4 linked regions of the Drosophila melanogaster genome follow. Changing the gene in region 4 together with the main gene of any one other region gives a genetic interaction. Each region holds a gene or a part of one and is shown on either strand. Other genes may lie near its edges. The genes, in order: put, Lamp1, Mob2 and upd1.

The links.
Region 1: of upd1 (region 4) and put, changing one suppresses a phenotype caused by changing the other (phenotypic suppression), as found in Drosophila melanogaster (one study listed by BioGRID).
Region 2: of upd1 (region 4) and Lamp1, changing one suppresses a phenotype caused by changing the other (phenotypic suppression), as found in Drosophila melanogaster (one study listed by BioGRID).
Region 3: of upd1 (region 4) and Mob2, changing one suppresses a phenotype caused by changing the other (phenotypic suppression), as found in Drosophila melanogaster (one study listed by BioGRID).

What each region holds. Positions count from the first base shown.
Region 1 is NT_033777.3:14,619,669-14,627,474, forward strand, and holds the start of put (punt), read right to left. Parts: upstream 6,036-7,806; 5' UTR 5,578-6,035; coding exon 5,532-5,577; intron 4,005-5,531; coding exon 3,819-4,004; intron 3,752-3,818; coding exon 3,575-3,751; intron 2,636-3,574; coding exon 2,490-2,635; intron 2,422-2,489; coding exon 1,606-2,421; intron 1,546-1,605; coding exon 1,366-1,545; coding exon of another isoform or gene 1,354-1,365; 3' UTR 1-1,353. Other genes in the region: His4r (histone H4 replacement), read left to right, coding at 6,382-6,561, 6,626-6,757; CG7886 (uncharacterized protein), read right to left, coding at 7,342-7,806.
Region 2 is NT_033779.5:21,571,504-21,577,613, forward strand, and holds Lamp1 (Lamp1), read left to right. Parts: upstream 1-1,885; 5' UTR 1,886-1,991; coding exon 1,992-2,058; intron 2,059-3,283; coding exon 3,284-3,610; intron 3,611-4,461; coding exon 4,462-4,683; intron 4,684-4,739; coding exon 4,740-5,080; 3' UTR 5,081-5,600; downstream 5,601-6,110.
Region 3 is NT_037436.4:11,550,094-11,555,087, forward strand, and holds the start of Mob2 (Mob2), read right to left. Parts: upstream 3,020-4,994; 5' UTR 2,737-3,019; intron 2,601-2,736; exon of another isoform or gene 2,446-2,600; intron 1-2,445. UniProt on the Drosophila melanogaster protein: Required for the normal morphogenesis of a variety of polarized outgrowths including epidermal hairs, bristles, arista laterals, and dendrites.
Region 4 is NC_004354.4:18,304,816-18,310,912, forward strand, and holds upd1 (unpaired 1), read right to left. Parts: upstream 4,477-6,097; 5' UTR 3,994-4,476; intron 3,445-3,993; exon of another isoform or gene 2,922-3,444; 5' UTR 2,785-2,921; coding exon 2,428-2,784; intron 2,353-2,427; coding exon 2,203-2,352; intron 2,014-2,202; coding exon 1,279-2,013; 3' UTR 539-1,278; downstream 1-538.

The sequences.
Region 1 (7,806 bases), on a different chromosome or scaffold from region 4:
TATCGTGTTTAGTTGATATCTTAACTGATAATCCAGAAGTATTTCAGATGCTTAGCCATTGATAAGAACTGATGCTGCGCAAAAAAGTTTCAAATAACCCGAAAGATAATACATTCCGCCAAGACTCTCTTAATTAAACTATAGCTTAAATAACTATAGCTCGACATACACCTTGTTTGGCTAACATTATAAGACATACTATCCGTTTAACAATGTTTAACATACTTACTCATTGTGTTTAGCTCTAATTTCTTACAGTGTGTGCATACCTCTTGGGTTGAATATTAACTTTGATTTTTTTTTTGTTTAGATTTTATGCTGACGATGAGTCGCAGCGTGTGCTTCATATAAACCTGCTAGACTGCGTGTGTTCCGTATGCCTATGCGTGTATGTGTTGTGTGTATATATAAAGAGTATAGTTTATATTTTATAATTTATGTATATGCGCTTAAGTTAGATTCTTGTTAAAAAGAAACTTTCCTTTGAAAACTTCAGGTGTTGCTTGTACTGTCCAGTAGAATTAGAATACAATTACATAATTACACATTTATTATGCTTACGCGATTTCTGAGGGTCATTGGCACTACGTTTTGGAAATAAAAAAATAAAAATCAAAAGCAGAAATATAAAACAGACAAAATAATAAAAAATCAGATGGTTAGGATGGAGTTTAAAGTATTTTTATTTAAAATACAACATTAAAACGCATGCACGTTTGAGCGCGAAATAAAAACGTTACAACTAAAAAGTAAACTAAAATTGTTAAATCTATTTTGAAAATAACTTTAAATATAAAACTACTACTATATGAAGACATTCGATAACGTACAAATAAAATTATACTTTAAAAGGCTTGACGATAATTTTCAACAGTTTACATATGCACACAGGCTACTGCCAGAGGGCAAAACAAATTGTACGTTATATGTATGATTTATATAGAACTATATATGGTTATCAGTCAATGAAGTCAATGTCGGATTAGCAACTACCACGTCTCTGGACATAGCTAATGCTCTTTGTTCAAAGTTGCTTAGTGTACGTTTCCACTCATTTCCAACAGATTTAAGAACTCGGGTTAACATCGAATGAGTCGATTTATAATTTAAAGAAAATAATAACAAAGAATCGTTGGCATGTTAAGCTTTTGGCTTTTCCCTTAGGAAAAGTTACATCTTACACGACTTCTTTCGTATAAATCAACCCATTCTATAGCTGCTTATAATGGTACTACAAACTATTAAACTAAAAACGAAACGTCTTACGACCTCGACGATCAACTATCCACTACGAAGCAAAAAGCTTCAACTGATTTTTTTGCAGAGCCACAGATCCGCTGGCTGGTCTGTGGCTTAGTACCGCTTCTATAAGCAATTCGTAGATTCCTTGGCGTCGTCAATGTTGGTGTGGTTCTTGATTAGCAACTGGGTTGAGGGATACTTGTTTAGCTGCGCAAAGCGTTCCATCACACACGAAGAGCTAAGACGAGCCTCAGCGTCGTGATCCCAGCACTCCTCCATTGTGTCGCAGAATACATTAAGTCCCTGTAAAAAAGTTACAAGTTATTTTCATTGACTAAAAGCATTATCAGAAGTCACACTCACCGGATGGGCGCGCCAGGAGTTGAGCAAACGAGGGCGCAGCTTCTTCATTACCACACTCTCCTGAACTTCGTCCAGCGACGGCCTCAGGCCCAGCTCGGCCTCAAAAGGCAGCTGGAACTCACCGACGGGTCCGGCAAAGTCACACCGTGACACCATTTCCCAGAGGACTAGGCCGCATGCGTAGACGTCTATGCGTAAGAAAGCGTCTCTATTGAAATTGATGGCACCCTCAAGCACCTCTGGGGCCATGTAACGTCGAGTGCCTACTTGACCGTGTGTATCGCCGCAGGGCTTGCCTGGCTGGAATATCATGGCCAAACCAAAGTCAGCTATACAGGCCGTCAGATCGCTCTTAAGCAGTACGTTCTTAGACTTGAAGTCTCGGTGAGCTATCGATGGTTTTAGCCCATCGGTCTTTGATGCCGGGATCTCCTCGTGCAGATGTGCCAGTCCATTGGCCATGGACTCAGCGATGCGGCACAACTCTGGCCATGAGATCGTGTGCGATTTGAGGTAGTCGCATAGTGATCCGTTATGCTGGTAGGTGGATATCAGCCAATATTCCGGCTTGTCCATGTGCTTCTCAACGCCCAGGAATTCGAGGATGTTCGGATGGCGCATGCGCGGCAGCTTGTAGATATCGTGCTCCGTGGTCCACGATTCTTTTTCCTGCATGCGAAAGATCTTGACGGCCACATCCTGATTGTTGAGCTTGGCTTGCCACACATCACCGAATCTACCACTGGCCTTCTGTTCCAGCAGCTGAATGGGACGGTTGCTGAGCAATGGCGATGAGTTTGTTATCTCAGCCTCGTGCTAAAGGGTTTAATTTTGCATAATTAAAATTATATATTTGCGGCAACATCACAAGGATATGTACGTACCGTGGGTATCTCGTTAAAGTGCGCCTGCTTGCGGCGTCGGTAGAGAAGAAGGCCCATGCCAACAATGACCATGAGCACGCTGAAAACGGAGGTGCCAATGTAGATGTATATCAAATTGCTGCCGTCCTGCGTCTTCTCCTTGGGCACTGCAACGATACAAGGACACACACGGGAACGAACATTAAAGAGGGCTTTAAACGCTGCCTTGCCACAGGTGAACAACATCTCGAGTGGCGGCATGCACCTGCAGCTGCTGGGGTTGCTATGAAAGGCAAAACGAAAACTAAAAAACGAAAGTTCGCCCCCAATTTCGCATCTCTTTTTCCCCTCATTTTGTTTCGAGATAAAAGCGAGCTAGGCCCAAGAACAAAACAACAAAGAGCAGGGCACAAAAGACGCCCTGGCAGCACAGGGCTTCGAAGTCAAAGGCAGCAGCAACACCCCAAAAATAAAAACAAGAAAGGATGCTAGAATGAAGTCACTCGACACTTGTATACCTGGTATTAGATAACAGATACTCTCCTCGTTGTGGGTTAAGGCTGCAAGCCAATTAAGTATCATTCAAAATAGGTAGAGTCTAATCCTATTAAGCCTTCATAATCGGAGTGAAATAAATTGGATTTATACCAAATAACTACCTCTTTCAGTTGCATCCTTTAAAGCGAACGCATTATACCCGATCGCTAAAGAAGTACCTTACTATAAAAATAAAAACGAACCAGCGAACGTGCACAGGAGGGCAGAAATTGCAACACATGCGGCTCCGAAAAGGGGTTGCTGGAGGCTGGGGATGTAGAAAATGATGGGGGAGCGGGCGCCACTTCGCGTCAAGAGTTCGTTAACACGAAAAACGCTGCCTCGGATGCGAGGAGTGGTATTTTGTAGGCGAAGCCTACGCCCTCTTTTTGCAACTTGAAGATGCAGTAAAAATACAAAAAAAAAAAAAAAAAACGAAATAACAAAAACAAACAAAAAATATATGCAAACGGAAAAATAACAAAATTGGGGTAAACACTCCAAAGACAAAACCCCAGTAGCAGCAAACGTTAAACCGAATCTGAATCCGAAACCGGATCCGAACCCACCTTGTGTGGTTGCCTCCGTGGTGCTTTTAATATATTTCTGGTTGGAATTGCACCGCGATCCCTTGCAGCAGCAGAAGTGAATGTTTCCCTGCCGTGGCTCTGCACTGGTCACGCACTCCGTCTGATTGCATTCGTGCATGTCCGTGAAGCAGCCCTTCATCTTGATGCGCAGGATGCCTATGGGAACGGAAAAATTAAAATTAATCAGTATGCCTGAAACAACGTCAACTTCTGCACGGCTCACCCGTTGTCTCGTTGACCGACCAAAGGACATAGCAGCTGGGAAACTTATCCGCCTCCATCTTACAGTGCTCTATCCGTGTTTCACATTGCTGCGTTGTGTTGCACATCTTCTCGTCGAAGTGCTCGCATTCTATGATCCCATGACTTCCGGGCAAAATAGATCCATGGATTCCAATCAGACAGCAGACTAAATGAAGACAATGGGAAAATAGATTAATAATCTTTCTAGTTTTAGATTAGCACTGATCTATATTTAAAGTATATATTTGAGCAGTCCTAAAACATGAGTAAAGACTTTCAAAAAGTTAAAACGTAGTTAAAGATCAAAGTTAATGGAATTATCGGTTGGAAGTGCTCAAAGGGTGGGCAAATAAAGTCGAGCCTATTTGGGGAATAAGACTGAAAGGGAGGGCGCTCAGCGAGCTCTTTGTGGGCGCTATCCTTTGTACACATATCGCATGCCCAGAAGTAGCAGGAGTAGCGTCCTAAGCTGGGGCCTCTGCCATTGAAAGCCACCCCATTTGGGCACGGAATTAGCCCCACTGGCCACACACCAGCCTTTGAGTGGGCATGGCCCCAATGCACGGATATGCAGTGCACAGTGGGCCTGCAGTAAGGTTTCTTGAAAATCTATTTACATTCTTTAATTCGATTTAATCTGGGATCCTCATCCAAATACCGAAATTTTTGTTGATAAAAATTAAAATGATAATTCACTTTTTAAATGTGTAAATACAAAAAATTTAATTTTGAAAACGTTTATTGCAACGAGCCTGCGATATATTGATTGATATTTCTTGACCATTGGCTAAGCAAACTGTTTTCAATCCTTTGAAACACTTTTCGTCCCACTGTCCTTTAGGTAATCGGATCGCTGGCCATGTATGTGTGTGTTCGTAAGCGTGCATGCTTTATAGTAAAGTAGATACATAAGCAGGCACATTATGCACACAGAAAGGGATGGGTTTAAAGTGGCGCTTGTGCGGAAAAAGGAAACAGCAGCAGCAGAAACAACAACAACAACAGCAGCAACAGGGAAGAGAGCGCACTGCGCCACAGAAAGAGAGAGGGCTATGGCGAGCGAAAGAGAGGGAGGCCGGTGGAGCAAAAGGGTGGGAGAAACCAGAACCTGCCATACAACAAGTTCCTAATGCAGCAAAATCCATTCAAAGAAATGCTCAGCGCACACACACATGGATTAAGATTGGGAATTAGGTATCCGATCGATTTATACCGAGTATGCGTTTGGCGCTCAACATATGAATTCGTAGTACCCACTGTCAACAATTCTTACGATATTTTACTACATTTGTGTAGTACAATTGTTGGTGCTTTAATAGAGTATCTAGTGTATACATTATTCACTTCACAAATAGATTTGATTCCTAGCATTTACATTCGTTATACCTAATTTCTGAAAATTTAAGATGTTCTGATGTGTTGGTTAATAGGACAAAGCTATCACAAAGCCTATACACCCTATATATGAACTTTTCAAGCGCCATGTGATATTAATAAAGTAATAGCATTACGCACCCCATATCATCAAAAATCACACGCACGAATGGTTATAAATCGAAGTCGGCTTGCATTACAGAGGAAAATCGTAAGGCAGAGACAAAATATAATATTATGTACATATGTACATAATAAAGCGACTGGGAATTAAGGCGCCAATAAGTATGCACCCACACACTCGCAGTGCAATACATACCCAGCGTTAGCTGCGCCGTTAGATAAAGCAGATCGTATTTGGACATTGTTATCGCCTGTGCAAACTTGTTTACAGCACTCGTTGCGTATACGTAACGCGAATATTTCGATGTTTCGGGGACAGGTGCAGTGGAATGGAATAACTGGGTACTGTTAATATTATTTTGGCACAGAGTTCCTGTTGTCTTCGCACTTTTCGAGTACAGCACTAAGTGTGTATGTGTGGGTGGCCGAGTGTGTGTGCGGTGCCTTGGCAGCGATTTTGCTGGCCACACGCCGTTTGCATGCGCATTTCCGCGGGTTTTACTCGACTTTTCGCCGCGACTTAATTTTAAGCTAGAGGGGCACAGTTGAAAAAGTATATGCGCGCTGCACTTTTTCGTTTTTCGCAGGTCTGCGGGCCTGTTTTCAAGCGATTTTAGTGCGAGCACGTCTTTCGGTTCGATTAAATCTTTTTTGTCGCAACGGGGCGGCGATAGCGATGGCCGATAGGCGATAACTGACCAGGGCTGGTAGTGAGACAATAGAAATACTAGATACGCGCATTTTGCGAAAGGTATTTTGAGGTGTGCGAGATCTGGTCACGCTCACAAGCAATTTTCTGGAGATTTCTTGAAGTGAGTTTTGTTGCTGAGAAATTTAAGTAAATAATAGAAGAATCGGTCAACAAAGTTTTTTTGTGCATAAACATAAAAAAAATAATTGGAGACCATTATTTTGTATGAAAACAGACTTATTAACAACAGTTTTCACCTGTCAAATGAACGTTTACCTTTCACCAAACATGGCGTCGCTTTACAGTTTATTGCGTCTTCTCTTCTTTTCAGCCAACTTTACGAAGCAACTGAGAAATGACTGGTCGTGGAAAGGGAGGCAAAGGATTGGGAAAGGGGGGCGCCAAGCGTCATCGTAAGGTGCTTCGTGATAACATCCAGGGTATCACCAAGCCTGCTATTCGCCGTTTGGCTCGTCGCGGCGGTGTTAAGCGTATCTCTGGCTTGATTTACGAGGAAACTCGCGGTGTGCTAAAGGTACGTTCTGGCGAAACGAAGGGAAAGTGGTGAAAAACTGATTAATTTCTCGGAAAATTCACAGGTATTCCTTGAGAACGTTATCCGTGACGCTGTCACCTACACCGAGCACGCCAAGCGCAAGACCGTGACCGCCATGGACGTGGTCTATGCCCTCAAGCGCCAGGGACGCACCCTTTACGGATTTGGCGGTTAAGCACGCCCTCTAACCTCCACATAATAAATAACCATGGAGTTAACTTAACTACATTCAAAATACTTGATCCAATTGAATCTTAATCAGTAGTATTCAACGCAAACTTAACCGAACGCAAATATTTTATAATTTCACAATATACGGACTAAATAAATCAAAAGATATCACATAGAGAACTCAATATCATGCATATGTGCATTTTGACTTGGGGCGGTTAATCATCCGAAAATAAGGTCCAACAAACTCGCTTAGGGAGCACACAAATAATAAATCTTTAATGGAAATTAGTAAGACCAAAGTATATTTTTGTACATTTTTGGTGCAGCTTGAATTCGCAGATGGCAGGACGTGCAAAAAGGAGCAGGTTCCCTTTTCTACTGCTACTGCCCGGGAGTATGACTGCAAATTTAGCTCTCCCAGTGGGGATCCTATCGAATCGAGTTGGCTGCTTTGTTGTGGGTGTGATGGTGGTGGTAGTGGTGTTGTTGTTGTTACTGCTCGGCGTATCAGCCAGCTGTGGTGTCGCTGCTCCGGCTGCGAATGGCTGCGGGGATTTTGAATGGAGGAACCTAAAGTCACGACCCCTAGGCGCTCTGCTCCCGCTGCTTCTGGAGCTGCAGGGACATGTAGACATTGGCCGGGGATATGACATTTTGGTCGCCGAAATCGCCAGAGCCTCCACCACCGCCGGCATCTCCGTCGCCGGCCTCTTCTGTGAGTGACATGGACTCCGATTGCTTGCGCCGCACAAAGACATGCATGGAGGAGTATTTCGAGCTACTAAGTAACGTGGAGTCCGTCGCCTCCGTCTCGTAGTCTGAGTTCTCCAGCGTAACGTCCGTTGAGGAGAGTTCTTCGGAGCGGGACATATACGACGACTCCATGTGCATGTCGCCGACTGGTACCTGAAGATCGTCCTCAGGCCGAGGTTTAAGGCGCTTTTTCCCCGTTTTACCAGCATTCGCTTGTCGTTCCAGATTGCTAACGAACTGCGCCACATGTCCATCGCTGGCGCCTGGGACACGTTTTTGCACCAAAGCCTCGACCAG
Region 2 (6,110 bases), on a different chromosome or scaffold from region 4:
TGAATTATTCCTGAAATGTCCTTAAGCAAACGTCCTTTAAGGTGGTTTAGGGAACATTTTGGAACACGCTCTCCGATTGGAGATATTCCTTAAAAATTGGAATACATATTTTTTAGTTGCACATTTTATATACCTTCTTAAGTCCCATAAAATAAAGTCGTACATACATAGTTAGACCAAACTTTTCTAAAACATTTAGCTTTTATATTTTTAAGGATTCACCTGTAAATAACGAAAAATAAATAAATAAAAAAGTTCCCATGAAAAAAACTCCACCGTTCCGCCAAAGACCCTAGAATAACAAGATGCGTAACGCCATACGATTTTTTGGCACACGATTTTTTGGCCGTGGCTCTAGAGGTGGCTCCAGGCTCTCTCGAATTTTTGTTAGAGAGCGAGAGAGCGAAGAGCGCTACAGCTAACAACTGTATGTGTGCACACGTATGCTCATGCATTGTAAATTTGACAAAATATGCCCTTCACCTCAGAAGTTCTTAGACTTTAAATCTATATTATTTTTGATCAATTGGCACCATGCGAAAAATTCTTGTTTTGCATTGCCTTAACGTTATTATTGTTTGAAAATAGATTAGAAATAGCCAAATCTATGTACATATTATCACAAAAATAAATTTCAAAAATGGCTTTATATTAGAATATTTGTCATTAGAGTATTCATATTGAGGCGTGTGAAAAATTAATAAGGCAATGATTGTTGAGTGCTTGTGTCCGCACTTCGTGCCGCAAGATATGAACAAAGCAAAGACACTAGAATTATTCTAGTGTCTTTGATATGACTTTTGCAATAAACAGTTATCATATTTTTATGAAATTTATGAAATTACAGTAGTTATAATAATTTCTATTGTACTTCCTTTAATTATTTAGTATATTTATTAAGTCATTTGACTTAATATGATGTAACATTAACATTAAAAGTGTTTAAAAAAAATATTTCGCTTTTAAAAAATTGTCAGATGAAAGACAAATTAGAATTAAACAAAAATATAAATGTGTAAACGGATAAACGAATAATTCTAGTGTCTTTGCTTTGTTCATATCTTGCGGCACGAAGTGCGGACACAAGCACTCAACAATCATTGCCATATTAATTTTTCACACGCCTCAATATGAATACTCTAATGACAAATATTCTTACATAAAGTCATTTTTGAAATTTATTTTTGTGATAATATGTACATAGATTTGGCTATTTCTAATCTATTTTCAAACAATAATAACGTTAAGGCAATGCAAAACAAGAATTTTTCGCATGGTGCCAATTGATCAAAAATAATATAGATTTAACGTCAAAGAACCTCTAGGGTGAAGGGGATATTTTGTCCCATTTACAATGCATGAGCATACGTGTGCACACATACAGTTGTTAGCTGTAGCGCTCTTCGCTCTCTCGCTCTCTAACAAAAATTCGAGAGAGCCTGGAGCCACCTCTAGAGCCACGGCGAAAAAATCGTGTGCCAAAAAATCGTATGGCGTTACGCATCTTGTTATTATAGTGTCTTTGGTAATACCTAACATTTTTTCATTAAGTCAATGAACTCAAAATATGGAAATTAATTTATAAATATTTCCACTGTGTTATAAACCCTGTGTGTTATAAACCTGTGTTATATAAACCCGTGATAAAATTATAACATGTTATACATATAATTCTTTCGATTGATCAGAAATTAAATGTTTGATAAGAAAATGTACTAATTGTATTATATTATGGAATTAAGAATATATTTTTTGGTATATTATTATTATAAGTTTCATTAAATATCGATAGACATCTTGCTGTAGTGGACATGTACTATTATTACGGTTCCATATGGGCTAATTTTAGTTCTTTTAGAAATTCGGTCACACTATTGATGAAGAAGGTCAAAATAAAAACTAGCTCAGTCGAGACAAAAACGTATGTGTCAGTGTAGTAGATTAACGTATAGAAAAACTGCAACACAACTTAAGTGAGATTGCCATTCAATATGTTCGCCAACAAATTGTTGACCTGCTCGGCATTACTAATAATGTTATTTTTACTAAGCAGTACAGGTTAGTGCCAAGCCAATTAAACCCTTTTTAAAACAGCAATGAAATGCGTCGCATTGGAGGCCTTTGTTCAATGTGATAATACATCGCAGTTCTTTTTATATGTATATGTATGTCGTTTGTTCATCGCACATAATTTATTTTTCCGGTGCCGTTCACGTCGCCATATGCGTTAGTGTCTTATCGGCGTAATAAGGTGTAAACGGTTGAATTGCGAGTTTTGCCTTCGTAGATCAAGGGTTTTAAACCTATTTCAGTAATCTGGCTATCCTTTCATAACTCTTCTAGAAAAATGGTGTCGCTTACGTTCGTTAGCCCCGGAGAACATCCATTTTTACCCCTTTCGCTTATTTGTTCTGGCAATTTACAGTTTTGTATGCAGATAAAGTCATCCGCCACCGTATGCATCCATATTTATTTTATGCACTTAAAATATTTATATGCATGGGTGTATAAATCGGCATATCATATTAAATTTGTATCCGCCATATAGCATACTTTAGTTTTTGGTTACTATCTGTCAATTCATATAACAAGATTTTGGGTCATTTGTTCAATACCAATGTTAGACATTTGTGCACATAGTATATACAAAATAATATATGACATAAAAAAAACAATCTGTGATAAAATAACAACAAGAGATAACGCTATAGTCGGTTCTCTGACTATCAGACTATGATAAGCGGATAAGACAACAAAGACTTGGAGCTAGACTGGGCATATGTATGTACCTACATATTTGGGGAGACATATTAAAATAAACAATTTAAAACATTTTTTTTTATAGCATGCGTGATAAAATGTTTCGGCATAGCAACAGAAGGATAAATGATTAAATCAGAAAATATTTTTTATTTTTTAATTTGTAGTGTGTTCCTACTAATCTTATCTTGTTAAATAGTTCTATAACCAGACCGAATTTAAAATTCGATTTCGACCTTATACATTTGGTTTGTATAAATATTTGACAATATGTTACGGTACGGCCATTTTCATAGGATCTCTACAAATCACTGAAAACGGAAATAAATTGTCCATCAAGTCCAAACTCACTAATATAAATAACAAAGGGTAATTTTTTGATAAGAGAACAAAGGAAATACAATTAGAGCTAACCATATGTACATTTGAATCTCTAATAAATAATTTTTTTTTCACGTCAATTTAAAGAAAATTCCGATTTAATAAAGAAAAGCTTTAATATTTTTAAAAATTCTTCTTTTAGTGTTCTCTCAAAAGCTTATTGGCTTGCCGAGAGTCGGTAAAAATGTTAGTGATTTGTTTCTGGAACAAGCAAACCCACTGACCAGCAGCTCCTCAACAATCTCAACGTCTTCGACAACAACTGAGAAACCTATCACAACCAGATCAACTTCTACAATAACTCCGAGATCTACCACACCTTCAACGGAATCACCATCGACCACCGCACCAGTGATAAGCACGACCATTGCCCCGCAACCATATCCGCAACCATCCATTGGGGCTTGGAATACCTCTTGTATTATGCTTCAAATGGCGGCACAACTTAATTTTACCTATGAGGCTAGGGGTAAGAAAATAAATCCATATTTAGATTGCGATCGAATTACGGCATTGGTGAGGTATGGGCTCTATTAGATTTTATAGAAACTCGTCTCACAGTTTTAACATTTTAATGAACTTACTGAAATCGATAAGGCAAATATTTCAGTTTAGATTAAAAAGAGATGTACATATGTAAGGATATATGTATGTATATTATATATATTATATTTACATCACTGTACACATAGAAATGATAATCAAGTTTTCAGACAATAACGAGTGATGCACTAATGATGCACTAAGGGTAACGTAAGGATAAAGACGGAGCGCAAGTTTGTTGACCCATGTTGCCACGTCCACAAACCATTTTTTTTCCCATTTTATTCCCCAATATCTATCGATATCCCAGAAAAATTATAAAAGTTGCGTTCGCATTCACACTAGCTGAGTAACGGTTACCTCTTCGGGTATCTCTTTTGTTTTTAGTTTAAATCGAATGGTGTATCAAGACTTACATAAGTAGTACATCGTATATATAACTTAATAACTTTCACTCCGTTTTGGACCATTTATAATAGTTATCTTTTAAATAATTCATCAGTAAACCAGTATTTAACATATTAAAAAGTGTATAACAGGTAGAAGAAATCGTTTCCCAGTCGAGCTCAAGGAAGCTGGGTTCGGTAAAATCGAATTTATGAAATTTGAAAGCTGGAATAGTCTGTCCATCTATGCTAATGGGCAAACGCTTTTTATTAATTATTATTTGTACTTAAATAAGCAATTATACTTACTTCTAACTTCATATATTATTATAACTAAAAAAAACTTGCATCTTTGTAAGAATATCCGACTAACGAAGACTTTTATCTTTAGAGGGAAACTTTACCACCGGTCTGTACAACATCCCCAGCAACGCATCTGTTGAAGATGCAGAATGTAAAAGCCAGACTACTCAGTTTATTCATCTGATTTGGGGACCAGAAACATCAAAGCAATCATTAATTATGTATTTTAATAAAAGTAATGACACCACTGTGCTTTCCTTTATGCAAATTCATCTGGCTTTGCTGCCTGAGGATTTTCCAGATGCAAAGGGTAAGAAAATATAAAAAATAGTAGACAGATCTGTGTCGAATAATCCCCAATTCCAGAAAATCAAACGGTTCAGCTTATTACCAGGAGCGACGGAGCGTTTAAGACACCAGAAAATATGTCGTATCACTGCACTCGTGTTCAGAAGATAAATATGACTGAGACACTCGATGCTGAGCAGTTAATTGGTTGGATCAGCGTCAGTCATGTTCAGGTGGAGGCTTTCCGGAGGGCCAACGACACTGGTTTCTCAGTTGGACACGATTGCGATAGCTCGGAAACTTCGGATGTGGTTCCCATTGCCGTTGGAATTGCTTTAGCTGCATTAATTTTGGTGGTATTAATATCATATCTGTGTGCTAGGCGTCGTTCCACCTCCCGCGGTTACATGAGCTTCTAATAGAAGGACATCAGCTTAATTGGGCAGGTTGCGAATCAAAGGAGTATGGACAGCAAATTGTTAGAGAGAAATTTAAGATTGATTTTTATTATTGGAAGCCAAAATTGATTAGTTGAAGTTGAATTAGTTTTTTTTTCAAGAGGGTCATCGAAATCATCAAGCGCAATTGGGTTTAGAATAATAAAACGGTTCTTTAAAAACTTTTTTACGTCTCTGTCTTTGTAAGTGTCCGATATTGGTTCTTGTATGCTGATATTTGTGTTTTATTTAATTGGTTTGAGCAATGTAAATGTAAAATAAAAAAAAAATTTCTAAATAAATTAATCTCTATAATGTAGCTACCGTGTTAACCCTAAAAAGGTGGTGTCAGAGAGGACATTTCTATTGTTAAGGCAAAAACCTGTACGCAATACCAACAAGTATACATTCTATTCAAATGTTATATTTTTTAAACATTATTATTGGGGCATATAAATGTGTGTATTCCTGACCTTAACTGTAATAAATAATATTTAAAACCAAGCACAATAATGATTTTCGTTTGCTGGAAAGGGCTTATGGGAAAAATCTTAAAATCATTTTTAATTTTATACAATTTTTATTTTAAATTATTTTAATTGGTTAATTATTGCGCTGTTCCTGTTTAGATGAAATTCTACGCTCCTGCAGCTGACAAAATACATGACCTGAGCTGGGCATCATAAGTTGTTCCTTTAGCAACTCGAAACGCTCCTCGGCTAGTTCATAATCATTCTGCGCCAAGGCCACTAGGCCCAGATTGTACCTGGCTTCAAAGTTCATCGGCTGAAGTTGCAGAGCTCCCTCAAACCGTTCGCGTGCTAATATTAGGTTGTGCGAGTCCAATTCCACTATGCCGGCGTTGATCAATCCTGGCGCATTGTTTTTTAGCGATCCTATTTCATGTAACTGGTTAACGCAATGGGAGGCCATTTCTAGGTTGCCTAACTGAAATATACGTTATGTTTTTAAGTACAAAGTGCATGTACTTTATTACACGGTACCTATAAAC
Region 3 (4,994 bases), on a different chromosome or scaffold from region 4:
ATTATATAAGCAAAAAGAGGTACCCTGTACATTTCGATCTTTGATTTTCTATTGATATGAAGATCCTCTTTCTTCAATGTAAAACTAATTCGTTCTGTTAGTATTTTTTATATTTTTTGTGCTTTTAAATTTTAACTTTACGAAACTAATATCCCAAATTTCTCATGAAACTCTTTGTGCAGCTTAAAGCAAAAACTTTTAATTGCTTGCAGACAATACTAGGAAGCCAATAAAATGGTCTGAAGTGCGTGCTAAAAAAAAAGTACGAAAAATCGAAAGATGACAGAAAAGGGGTTAATGCCTATTGTTTTGTTTATTCAGCTCGAAACCAGCTACTGATTCCAATATCCAAAATGTTCAATTTCCGCGTCGCTGTCGCACTTAACCTTCAACTCGCATTGAAGCCAATTTGCTGACTCTGTTGTCTTTTCCCCCCAAACGAGTTTTGTCTTTTGTGCGCCCCCCTTCTAGTATCGTTTTCACACCTCCGCACACAGAACAACTGGCGCCCCATCAAAACCGAAATTTATGATGTGATTCTAGCAACGCGACGGCGAGTGTTTTTTTTTTCTTAGATTGCCCATTGCTCGCGTTTTGAATGAGCTTAATTGTTGCCGATTTGAGTGTGCTTTTCATGTATATGCAGCACAACCCGTTAAAGGTCAAATGAGCGATTGGCAAAGTCGAAAGAGAGAAAAAAAAAATAGAAACCGAAACCGAAAATGAACCCCCACCCCCTTTGCTCGCTAGAAAAGCTGGAGAATTATGTCTATGTCTGCTAACGAAAGAAATGAAAACGAGTTCCACAACTGGCAAACGACGAGCAGGAAGACGACAGCAGATATGGAAAGGGAGATAGAAGCTGTGCAGCGGTACGGTGACGTGAGATGTGCGATGCACATGCAATGGATGACATGATATACATAGTAGATAGGTGTATCTCCGTACCCCCACCACCAAACCCCATGCCAAGCCGTACAAAACCCATCCATATATATCTTCGAGCTGGTTTGGGTTGTTCTGTTCTGTTCGCTTCATTTTGGTTTGGTTTGGTCTGGAAGAGCTGACCGGCGGGCAGGCAGAGCATCATACATACATACATATGGCATAACGGTTCGGCGGAAAGGCGCAGAGAAGTTTTCGGGTCGCTAACTAACCCAGTTACCAGAGATTCATCCGACAGCGTTTATAACTGTGACTATCCTTTTCATATGGGTTAAACGATCGATTGAGATACACGTCGAATGAAAACAGTCCCAATAGAACCGAAATGCATATGTATGAATTCGATTAAATGCGATTGCTGAGTTACTAAATTAGTATCTATACGATTTTGCTGGAATTGCTTAATGGGGAAATACCGTGAGAAAAGTGTTTCATAACGGGGGCAAAACGTTCAATCGCAAATAGTACATAGATACTTTTCTATACCATTATATATCGAACTAAAATTGTTAGTTTGGATAAATATCATAGTGCTTCTTCCTAATTAGTTCCTGAGCTTACATAAATCCTTAACATCCGCAACACAGAAGGGCCTACACAGAAAACGAATCGAATTCGGTTAGATAATATCGCACCACAAAGGCTTGAATCAATTTCATTTCCTCTGCCTTCCGCAAATTGTCCATGGCAATTCAACTATGGGAATCCGCAACTAGTTCCAGTTGGCTTTGCAATTTTTAGCATGACCTCAAAAAATCGATGGATGGCCTAGCGCATTTGAGGACCCAAAGGGTTGGCGAGGGGCAGTGGTAGGAAGGCGCGGGGGGTCTGGACGAAAGGTGTGAGAAATAACAAGCTGCTGGTTGAGCCACTCGTAACTGTTGTTTTCTCAGCGTATTGAACACGTAGGCGCGTCAACGGGGTTGACAAAAAGTAGAAACAACGCAACCAGGATGTGCACGGAAAAAAGAGGAAATACTCTAGGCCCAATAAGATATATCATTATTTTAAGATTTTCACTCTTTTTATTTTTAGAAGGTATTTAAAGGCAGTTTGAATAAGGATATATTCCATAAAAACCTATCTTTAAATAATTCTTGTGAAAACTGTCAAATGAACCCTAACAATACCCCCATTTCTTTCTGTGTGGCAGAGAAAACACCTGACAATGCAGTTGAGTGTGAGGGGGCGTTAATAAGGGAGGGTTGAGGGTTGCAGGGCAGACAACCAGACAAGCGGACGAACAGACAGGAAGCTCGTGAGGAAGGAAGTTCCTGCCGCTGCGGCAAAGGAAGTGGTTAAAACAATATGGCAGTGGAGGAACAAGTAGTGGTGGAGTGGCAGTGGCAGTGGCACACCAAGCAACATTGTGAATGCCCAATGTACCGTTGTTGTTGCTGACGCTGGAGTAGCAGCTTTGCTGCAGCGTTGCAGTTGTTGCTGGTGTGCCAATTCTAAGCGCTGCATTGGCAACAGTCGCGCTTCGCCGGTTTCGCAACTGAACTCTCAGCTGCTATTGCTCCTCTGCAGTTAGTTGCTGTTGCTTCTGCTGCTGCTGCTGTTGCTGCATTGCGCGTAATCAGTGAAGCAACAAACCGTGGCAGCTAGCTGCAACAGCAACAATAACACGCCAGCAGTCGCGGCTCTGAGGAAAAACTTGAATGCAGTTTTTCGCAGCGAATGACACAGTTTCACACCAGCACGGGAAAACACTAGCACACACACAGAGAAGAACTTCTTTTCTTTCTTTCTTTTTTTTTTTGTTGGAGAACAGACTCCTTTTCGGCTTACATTTGTTCCCCTTTTCGGGATATTAGTTTGTATTGGTAGGCGATTTTATTTCACAATCTAGCATAGCATTTCACGGTGGCAATTGATGTTGCAAATGTTGCGCTGCTTGCTGCTGGAGTTGCTGTTTTGCTTTTAACTGCGACGCGATGATGTGTGGTTGCAACCGACGGCGGCGCCTCGAAAAACAATGTCAAATAATGACGCGGCGACATCAACAGTCCACTATTGACGACGACCTGCAACCGCTCGAGCGACCAAGCGTGCCAAAGGAAATTTCTACACTGAGCCAAGCCGTCCGTCTTTGACTGACTGCTGCTCGTTCGGCTGGCAACAGCAACACATACACATACACAGCGGCAACAACAGCAACACACAGCGGCAACATCAACACTCACGCAAGTAAGGAGAGAAAAAAGGCAGCAAAAGCAAAAACACAAAACTGGCAACGAAAGCAGAGCACACAGTAAAGATGAAGTGGTTGCTGTTGTTGTTATTGTTGCTGCTGATGTTGCTGCTGTCTCGCACACCAGCAACATTTGCTCTCCGCTCGAGCGCGAGGAAGAGAGCTAGAGGTATCAAATACCAGCTGAGCGGGAGAGAGCTGCCCGTGTACGTGTTTTGCATACAAATGCGCCACTCAAGCGAGACACGCACATCTATACGGTTTTCGACCACTTGTTTGACTGCTTTGGCTTTAGCCCTCTCTCTTCTACGCTCTCTCGCATCAGCTGAGCGCTCATGTTTTGATGCTCAGCAGCTGACTGCGCTGGCGTTGCCACACAGCTCGGTAACAAGAGAACACGGCAAAGTGGCAGTAGAATAGTAGCAGAATCTACTACTTTTTTAACGCATTGAACAAACCTAGGATAAACTCTATAAATAACAATTAGAAATTAATTTTCCACGAAAAGGGATAATTGTACCGTTCGTATGAAACATTTAAATGGATTTCTCATAAATATATTGCCATTGTTGATTCATTAACACATGGTTTTAATGATCACAGGTAAACGAAATAAATTCGGCAAATTTAATGGCTAACACAATTTCGTACAATTGACGCAAACATCACATCACTTATGTACTTTTACCAAGAACACTAATTGGCTTGATAACAATCTGTTCAACTAAAACATCATAGAGTTTTGTTAAAGCGCTAAACATTTATTTAATACGTTTAATACTCTAAGCATGTTATAATTTTTTTCTCAGTTAAAATGACTGCTCTAATTGACTTAAACAAATTACCTGGGATTTGGGTAAGCTCATGCTCAAGATATTTCACTCACCTGAAAGGAAAACAGAAAATAAAGAATTAAAGATATATTCCAATTTGTTATTCTCGATGGTAAGGACCTCCAGCTACGTGGTTCTTATCAATGAAGTGACCCCAAGCCCGCATGAAATAGCTACTCCTCTGACCATCAAATCTCTCCACAGGGAGTAATTATCACGCTCTTTTTCGGCCAGGAAGAAATAAAATCAGTAATCAAATAGAATGGAGCGGTAGACGAAAACCGAAGAACACAGGAACTGCATTTGCTGCCTAACTTACACAGAATCTAGACCCGAATAAGAAAACATAATATAAACGCATCGTCATTCTGCGTAAATAAAGTTGAAAACAGGAACACGCAATGCACTTAGATAAATTTGGACCGACATGTGTGGTATTCATTAAGCGAATAACTAAAAAGAATGATTAACAAAAACACAACAGTACCAACCCACATAAACTTATTTTATATTTTTAAATTTACTAGACAATTGCATTAATACACTTTTTTTCGAGTGTATCTCAAAACAGCTGTCCATTGACGAGCTGAAGAAAAACAAGAACAAATACGACTGGGGCGAAAAGGTGAGAAGCGGATAGAGGAAAAGGAATCTTGGCAGCAGAGAACGCGCACCTGTGACCGCCCGCAATGCAACCGAAACGGCGGCAAGTTCATTTGCACCACATCAAAATTTCATCCACACTATGCTGCGCACACACACACACGAAGCGTGTAATGGAACATCTGATCCGTACCGCCAACTCTATGGCCCTCTCTTTCCACCCACACAGCACAGCAACCATCTCACTTGCTCCAAAAGGTGGTAACGCTCGGCTGCTTTCTAGCGGTTCAACTGCTGCCATTTGCCATTACTCGAATTGCTTTGTGCCCATTACTTATGGCAGCGACTGTTGCCGTCGGACAGCAAAAACGGCACACGATCGCGATCTGCGGATATTGCGGATGTTGCGGCAAGAAGGT
Region 4 (6,097 bases):
GCGCGAACTTTCATTGAGTGGTTCCATTGATCACAGTCCATTCATTTCCTCTGGGTTTCTGGGCACAGGTAGACAAGCAGGTGGGGATCGGAATCGGAATCGGGATCGGGATCGGTTTCGGTATCGAGGGGAACTGGGAGCCTGACGTGCTAATAGTTTGACGCCGCTGGAGATCATAAAACCCATGACCCATGGAGGAGCCATAAAGACGCATCCAAGGCGCAGCAGAAAGCGAATCCGCAGAAAGTGGGTCAAGGGAATTGGAGTAATTGACTCCCCCAGGTATAGGGATTCAATGTACGCGAAAGTGTTGGCCACATAAGATAGGTTGGTTGATAGGTTTTTGATGGTAAAAGATATAAAAATATATAGAATTGAATTCGATATTCGGGTATTTCAATTTTGAAATATAAGATAAAAACGTTGAACCTCAAAATGGGAAGTACGAAGTTCTTTTCCATCATAAATTTAAGTATATCCAAATGGATATATGTATACCATTTATTCCCAAAAATGAAATGCAATCCAGATTTATTTTCAAATTCAATTCAGTTTATTGTTCGCTTTATTCCGCTGCTGGCTTAGTCATATGTCGGTCGGTTCTATAAATACGAAAATCGATTTCTAAGGGCGAGCTTAGGACTACGAAGGCATGGATGCGGCCACATGCCACCCCAATGCGATCTATATATAATATATATGTACAATTAGGTTAAATACGAACTAGTCAAGCACTATATCACAGATGTCGAAACACAAGCTAGCCTACGAAAAAAAAAAAATGTGTGTGTGTGTGCCTTAGGATCAAAGTTTAGCCTAAAGGATATGGATATGGAATTATGATCATGAATGCCATGGGTTAGCTTAGCCTACTGGGGGTCACATAGTACTCGATGCGGGTGCGGAATGGGCTACAAAGCGGGCGTGGCGAATAATACTTTCCAGTGGGTGGTGGTTGGCGGTTGCTCTTATGTGACTAGAACGGCAACTGCAGATTGTGGTTTCGTATGCTATATAACTATATCTCTCTCTCTATTTCTCTCTCTCTCCCTCTCTCTCACTCTCGACGAATGTCAATAAATACGGAATGTGGTAATACTTGCAATGAATTCGAGAACAGAGACTATGTGCTGTCAATCAAATAATTTACTTAAGCTACTATCGATCAATTAACGGTTAAATTAAGGATTTGAGGCTAGGGGTTTGTAGAACAGAGGAAAGGGGCGAGTCCTGAGGTAAGGGGAAATGGAAAGATATGGGAATGTTGTGTATGCTATTTCACGTGCGCTGCACGCGCTTCGACTGGCGCTTTCCACGTCTGCCACGTGCAAATTGGTTGCTTCCACCACCGGAAACACCTGCAACATCTGCAACTCCAGCAGCACCACCGGCCACTGGCTTGGATACCTCGTTGAACTCCTTGCCATTCAAGGTGGAGCTGCGCCAACGCTGCTCCAGTTGATCCGCCAGCTGCTGCTGCTGCTGTAGCAACTTTTTCTGGCTCCTCTGCTGCTTCTTGTGGTGCTTCCGTGGCCGACTCCTTACCCGCTTGCCATCCCGCCGCAGCAGCTGGTACATGGTGCGCAAAAAGTCGTAGTAGTGGTGCTTCACAAAGCGCATATCGATCGAGTCCGCCTCGCCCGCCGCCATGGATGCACTGGAAGCAGCACCACCCATACCGGGCCCACTCGTCTTGGAGCGCAGCTTCAAACGCTTGTTCATCTCGAGACGCGAGATCTGTGGCAGCTGCTGACCCAGCATGGTGGTGCCGCCAACTGCTGTGACCGCCGCACCACTGCGCCGCTGCTTCTGGCGCGGACTCTGCGTCTGGTTGACGGCTGTCTCCAGCTCGCAGAGGATGCGCCGCGAGCTCAGGAGCAGCTCGCGCAGCTCGCGGGCGGTGCTGGACTCGCGGGTGATGGACCGCTGATCCCAGCGGATCTGCTGGCGCCTCAGATACGCAAAGCTGGCCACGTAAGTTTGCATGTTGCGGTACCAGCGCTTTAGGGCAATCTGTGGAAGAAATCAAAAAGATGGAGACAATTGTGAGCTATTTTCAAGATACATAGATACAAAGTTGATAACGAGATAATTGAGCTATTTTCAAGATACATAGATACAAAGTTGATAACGAGATGGATTTAGTAACTAGTTTTGACAACTAAGTTAATAGATAAAAAGTATGACTGTAGGATTGCTTACCGTGGAATTGGGCTTGAGCTTGGGCAGGAACTTGTAGTTGTGCGTGTGGAGGGACCACATGGTCATGTTGCGGATATCTATGGCCGAGTCCTGGCTACTGTTTAGGCTGCGGTACTCCCGAAAGGCGTGGCGCTTCAGCTGATTGAAGCTCTGTGGAGAAGCAGATAAAATGGGGAGCGGATTACATATGGATCGGGTCCAAAGAGCGCTGCCGTTTGAACTCACCTGCCTGGGACGCTGGCGATTGAAGCGATCACCCGCCGAGGGATGATAGTTGCCACCGCAGGGATTGGCCCACTCCAGGGCGGTGGTGTTCTCGTCGAAGTTGCGATAGTCGATCCAGTTGCTGTTCCGCTTTCTGTGGCGCTTGCGCGGACTAGCGGCGCTGGCAGGGATCGTGCCCTGATTGGGATGCTGAGCTGAAGCCGTACTGGAGGTGGTGCGAATGCGCAGGCGCTCGCTATCGATAACCGTTAGACCGCCGCTGCTGGTGGTGCTGCGCCCCTCGGCGAGGTGGGGCAACTGGGCGGCAAGGAGCAGGACGAGTAGGATGGGCAGGAGCAGGAGCAGCGGACGAGCCATCGCCGCATGGTAGCCACTTTCTCTTCTGCGCCGGAATCCGTTACCGCTACCGCTACCGCTTCCGCTGATGTTTCCGTTTCCGTTGCCGGCTGCCGTGGTGCTGTTTTTAGCTGTGGTCGCAGCGCACTGCCAACCAACTACTGTCCGCGGTCCGTATCGAAATCAGTGTGCAGATACAGCGAACGGGGTTACAATATATATATATAGGATATATGTGAAGGGTGGGGATGGGGGGTCAGAAGGGAAGAGATGTGGAGAAAAAACACTATGAGTATCGAGAATGCAAAAGTAAATTCAATTTTCTGCTACAACGCGCGACGACCAACGATCAACTGCTATCACTGTTCCTCCCTGACTAGATGGTTAACTAACTGGACTCCCTTGGGAGTGGATGGGTTACTGGGTGGGATTGGGTGGTCGGGTGCTTCGATGCTGGAGCTCTGAGGTGATCGGGATTACGGGTCGGATGATCGGCCGAGCCTCCTTCAATGCGAATGCAACTGCAACCAGACAACAGTCTCAACAATTTGGTTCGATTTTTTTAACATTTTCTCTATGTTTGTTTTGCGGTTTTTTTTGCTTTTCGTTGTTTTTTTTTTTTTGTCTTTTCCAGAGCGATATGTGTGTATATTGAGGGCGGGGAAACTTTTTAATTTAGACAATTAACTCGAGAGTAGCCTGAGCGAATAACGAAGACGTATCGATCCAAGTTTCGAGGATCTAATCTTCTCCAGGCGACAAATCTCTGCCTTCTGGCTTGGCTTGGCTTTAACTTCCAGTGTGTGAAAGTGTATGGAAACTTTTGAGGTTGAATTTTGGATTTGGGGCTAATTCTAAAATTTGAACATTTCAAATTCTCCATTCAAGTTAGCTACTTTATCTGACAGGATTAAAATTCGAGACTGAAGATCGTTTGCTGCTAAAAACGAACGGAAAGGATTCGCACAAGTAACAATATCCTGAATGGATTTGCATTTTAATGCAGAGCGAATTAATTAAACTATATAATTTAATCCTAATTCCCAAAATTGCAGTTGCTGTCACAGAATGTCCTTTTTGCTTAACAGTAGATCGTTGGTCGTTTCTTGTTGATAAGTCACTTGAAGAGTGGAGAATTGATATTGACCAAAATATCCTTTTCGATCGCTTCTCCACTCTCCAATTGTGCCTGCTCTTAAGTCTTGATCAAATTAAAAATAATACACACACCGCATTATAGATGAAAAATGGAATCGTTCAGGATCCTCGCGGGATCCCCGTGGTTTGTGCTGCGCCTGAGCTCCCAAAAGTCTGTACGTTAATCCAAATGTTCGATGATCGTTCGAGATTCGTTGTTCGTTGATTTTCCGGCGGTTTTCAATGGACACACTTGCAGCACAACACTCGCAAAAAAATGTATTTATATATAATATTTGTGAGACCACTTGACCACAGATCGAGTTCAAATCCGTGCTTCAGTTTGTGTTCTGATTTGGTGATTTCGATGCTTTGGAGACTGATTCGCGGACACTTCTGCTCGCGTTCGAGTGTGAAACCGAACTGAGCCCAAAGTCGCGCTGGATTTGACCAGCTTTCTTCGCTGAGAGGCTGCGGATACCAGATACCAGAATACCAGAGCGATACCGACCGACCACCGACCAACCGACCGACCGATGAGCAGCGCCAAAAGGCCGAAACCGAAACTGAAATGGGAACTGAGGCGAGCTGAGCGGCCTCTGCCGGCGTCGCTGCCCGCCGAGTGCCGACGAGCGGTACGCCATGGTCCGAGCCAGAAGAAGACCGCCGATTCGGACCGATCAGATTCAGATCCGAAGAACCGCAGGCTGTCCCGCTCCCGCGCCCGCTCTCACCGATCGTATTCGGGGTATCCTATTCCCAGGTCACCTGCACGTGTGTGCGTATGCGCCTACCTGGCCGAAGTGTGTATTGGTGCCGTCTTTGAGCCTGCCAACCGGCTGTCCTCGCGCGCCATCCCGCTCGCTCCTGCGGACCAGGGCGATCTTGGGCCGGTCGCCATTGCAACTGGAATTTTCCCACTTGCCCAATCCGCGTCACTCACTCAAAGAGCGGGAAAAGAAGAGAGGCAGCCTACCTGGTGCCCCAAAAGACCAGGCCTACCTGGCTCTGTCTCACTCTTCTAAGCCCGGTCAGCTAGGTCCTCTCTCTCTCTCCCTCTCTCAAACTCTCTGGGTGACCTTGAGCGGCCTGCTCACCCCTCCCAAAAAGTCCTGACATTCAAATCGGTCTAGAAAGTGATCAACGGAAATGACCAACATAACACCGCTATTCAGCTCGCTAATCCAGGTAAACTATCCATTCGAGAACTATCCACGAGGAACGTTAACCAATATTACATTTTCTTCAACTTTTTCTAACAACTAGTAAATTGCTATATATTTTGTATATTAAAATTAATTTAGTAATTATAAGGAATAAAGCGTAAAATAGGATAAAGCACTAAGGAATCAACCAATTGTGCAGTTACAATTCTTCTCAATACCAGTAGTAATATATATAATAATACATAATATATACATTTTTATAGTAATATTATTTATACGTGTTCGAACCACAATCAATATAACTGAAGTAGTGATTTTGGCACTCACAATCTATTATATATGTATATACCATTCAAATTCATTTGACATGATTCAAGTTGTTTAAATGAAGTTAATAATATACATATATATGCCTAAATCTGTTCGTATGGGTAATTAATTAATAAAGATTTACATAAAAATCGTAAAACATTAAGTTGTTTCATCATTTTTTGATACATTTATAACTCACCTCAAATTATTTATTTTGATAATCGCAGCGCTGATATTTGACCATCTCGATGAGTTCGGCTTGATATTGTCGCAATTCCGCTTTGGGTGGGTAACTAGAAGAAGAGTGTGAAATCTCTGGCCAGTGGGCCAGGTACTCCCAACTGGCGAACCCCCGGACGCCCATCTACCTAGGACATCCCTATGTCAAATATGCCCATATTTCTCCCTACTTTCGAGGGCTTGCACAATTGACGGTCTAATTAAATTGAGAGTTTTGCTGCATTATGGCCGCATTGTTTTGGGCAGCCGAAAACAGCTGTAGATGGTCAGATAGCGGGCCGAAACGGACAGCGGACGGTGTGTCCTTGCGTCTAACCGTAAGTGCAGCGTGCAGCAACTGCTGCAGGAAGCAGTTGTGTTGCGCAGCGGGGCCACTCGCCTTTATTTCGCCGCAAGGCAGGACGGACGCACAGGACTCGAATCTCGCAGGACCCACAACCCACAGAGAGGGACTCGCTCGCATATATCACATATATCAA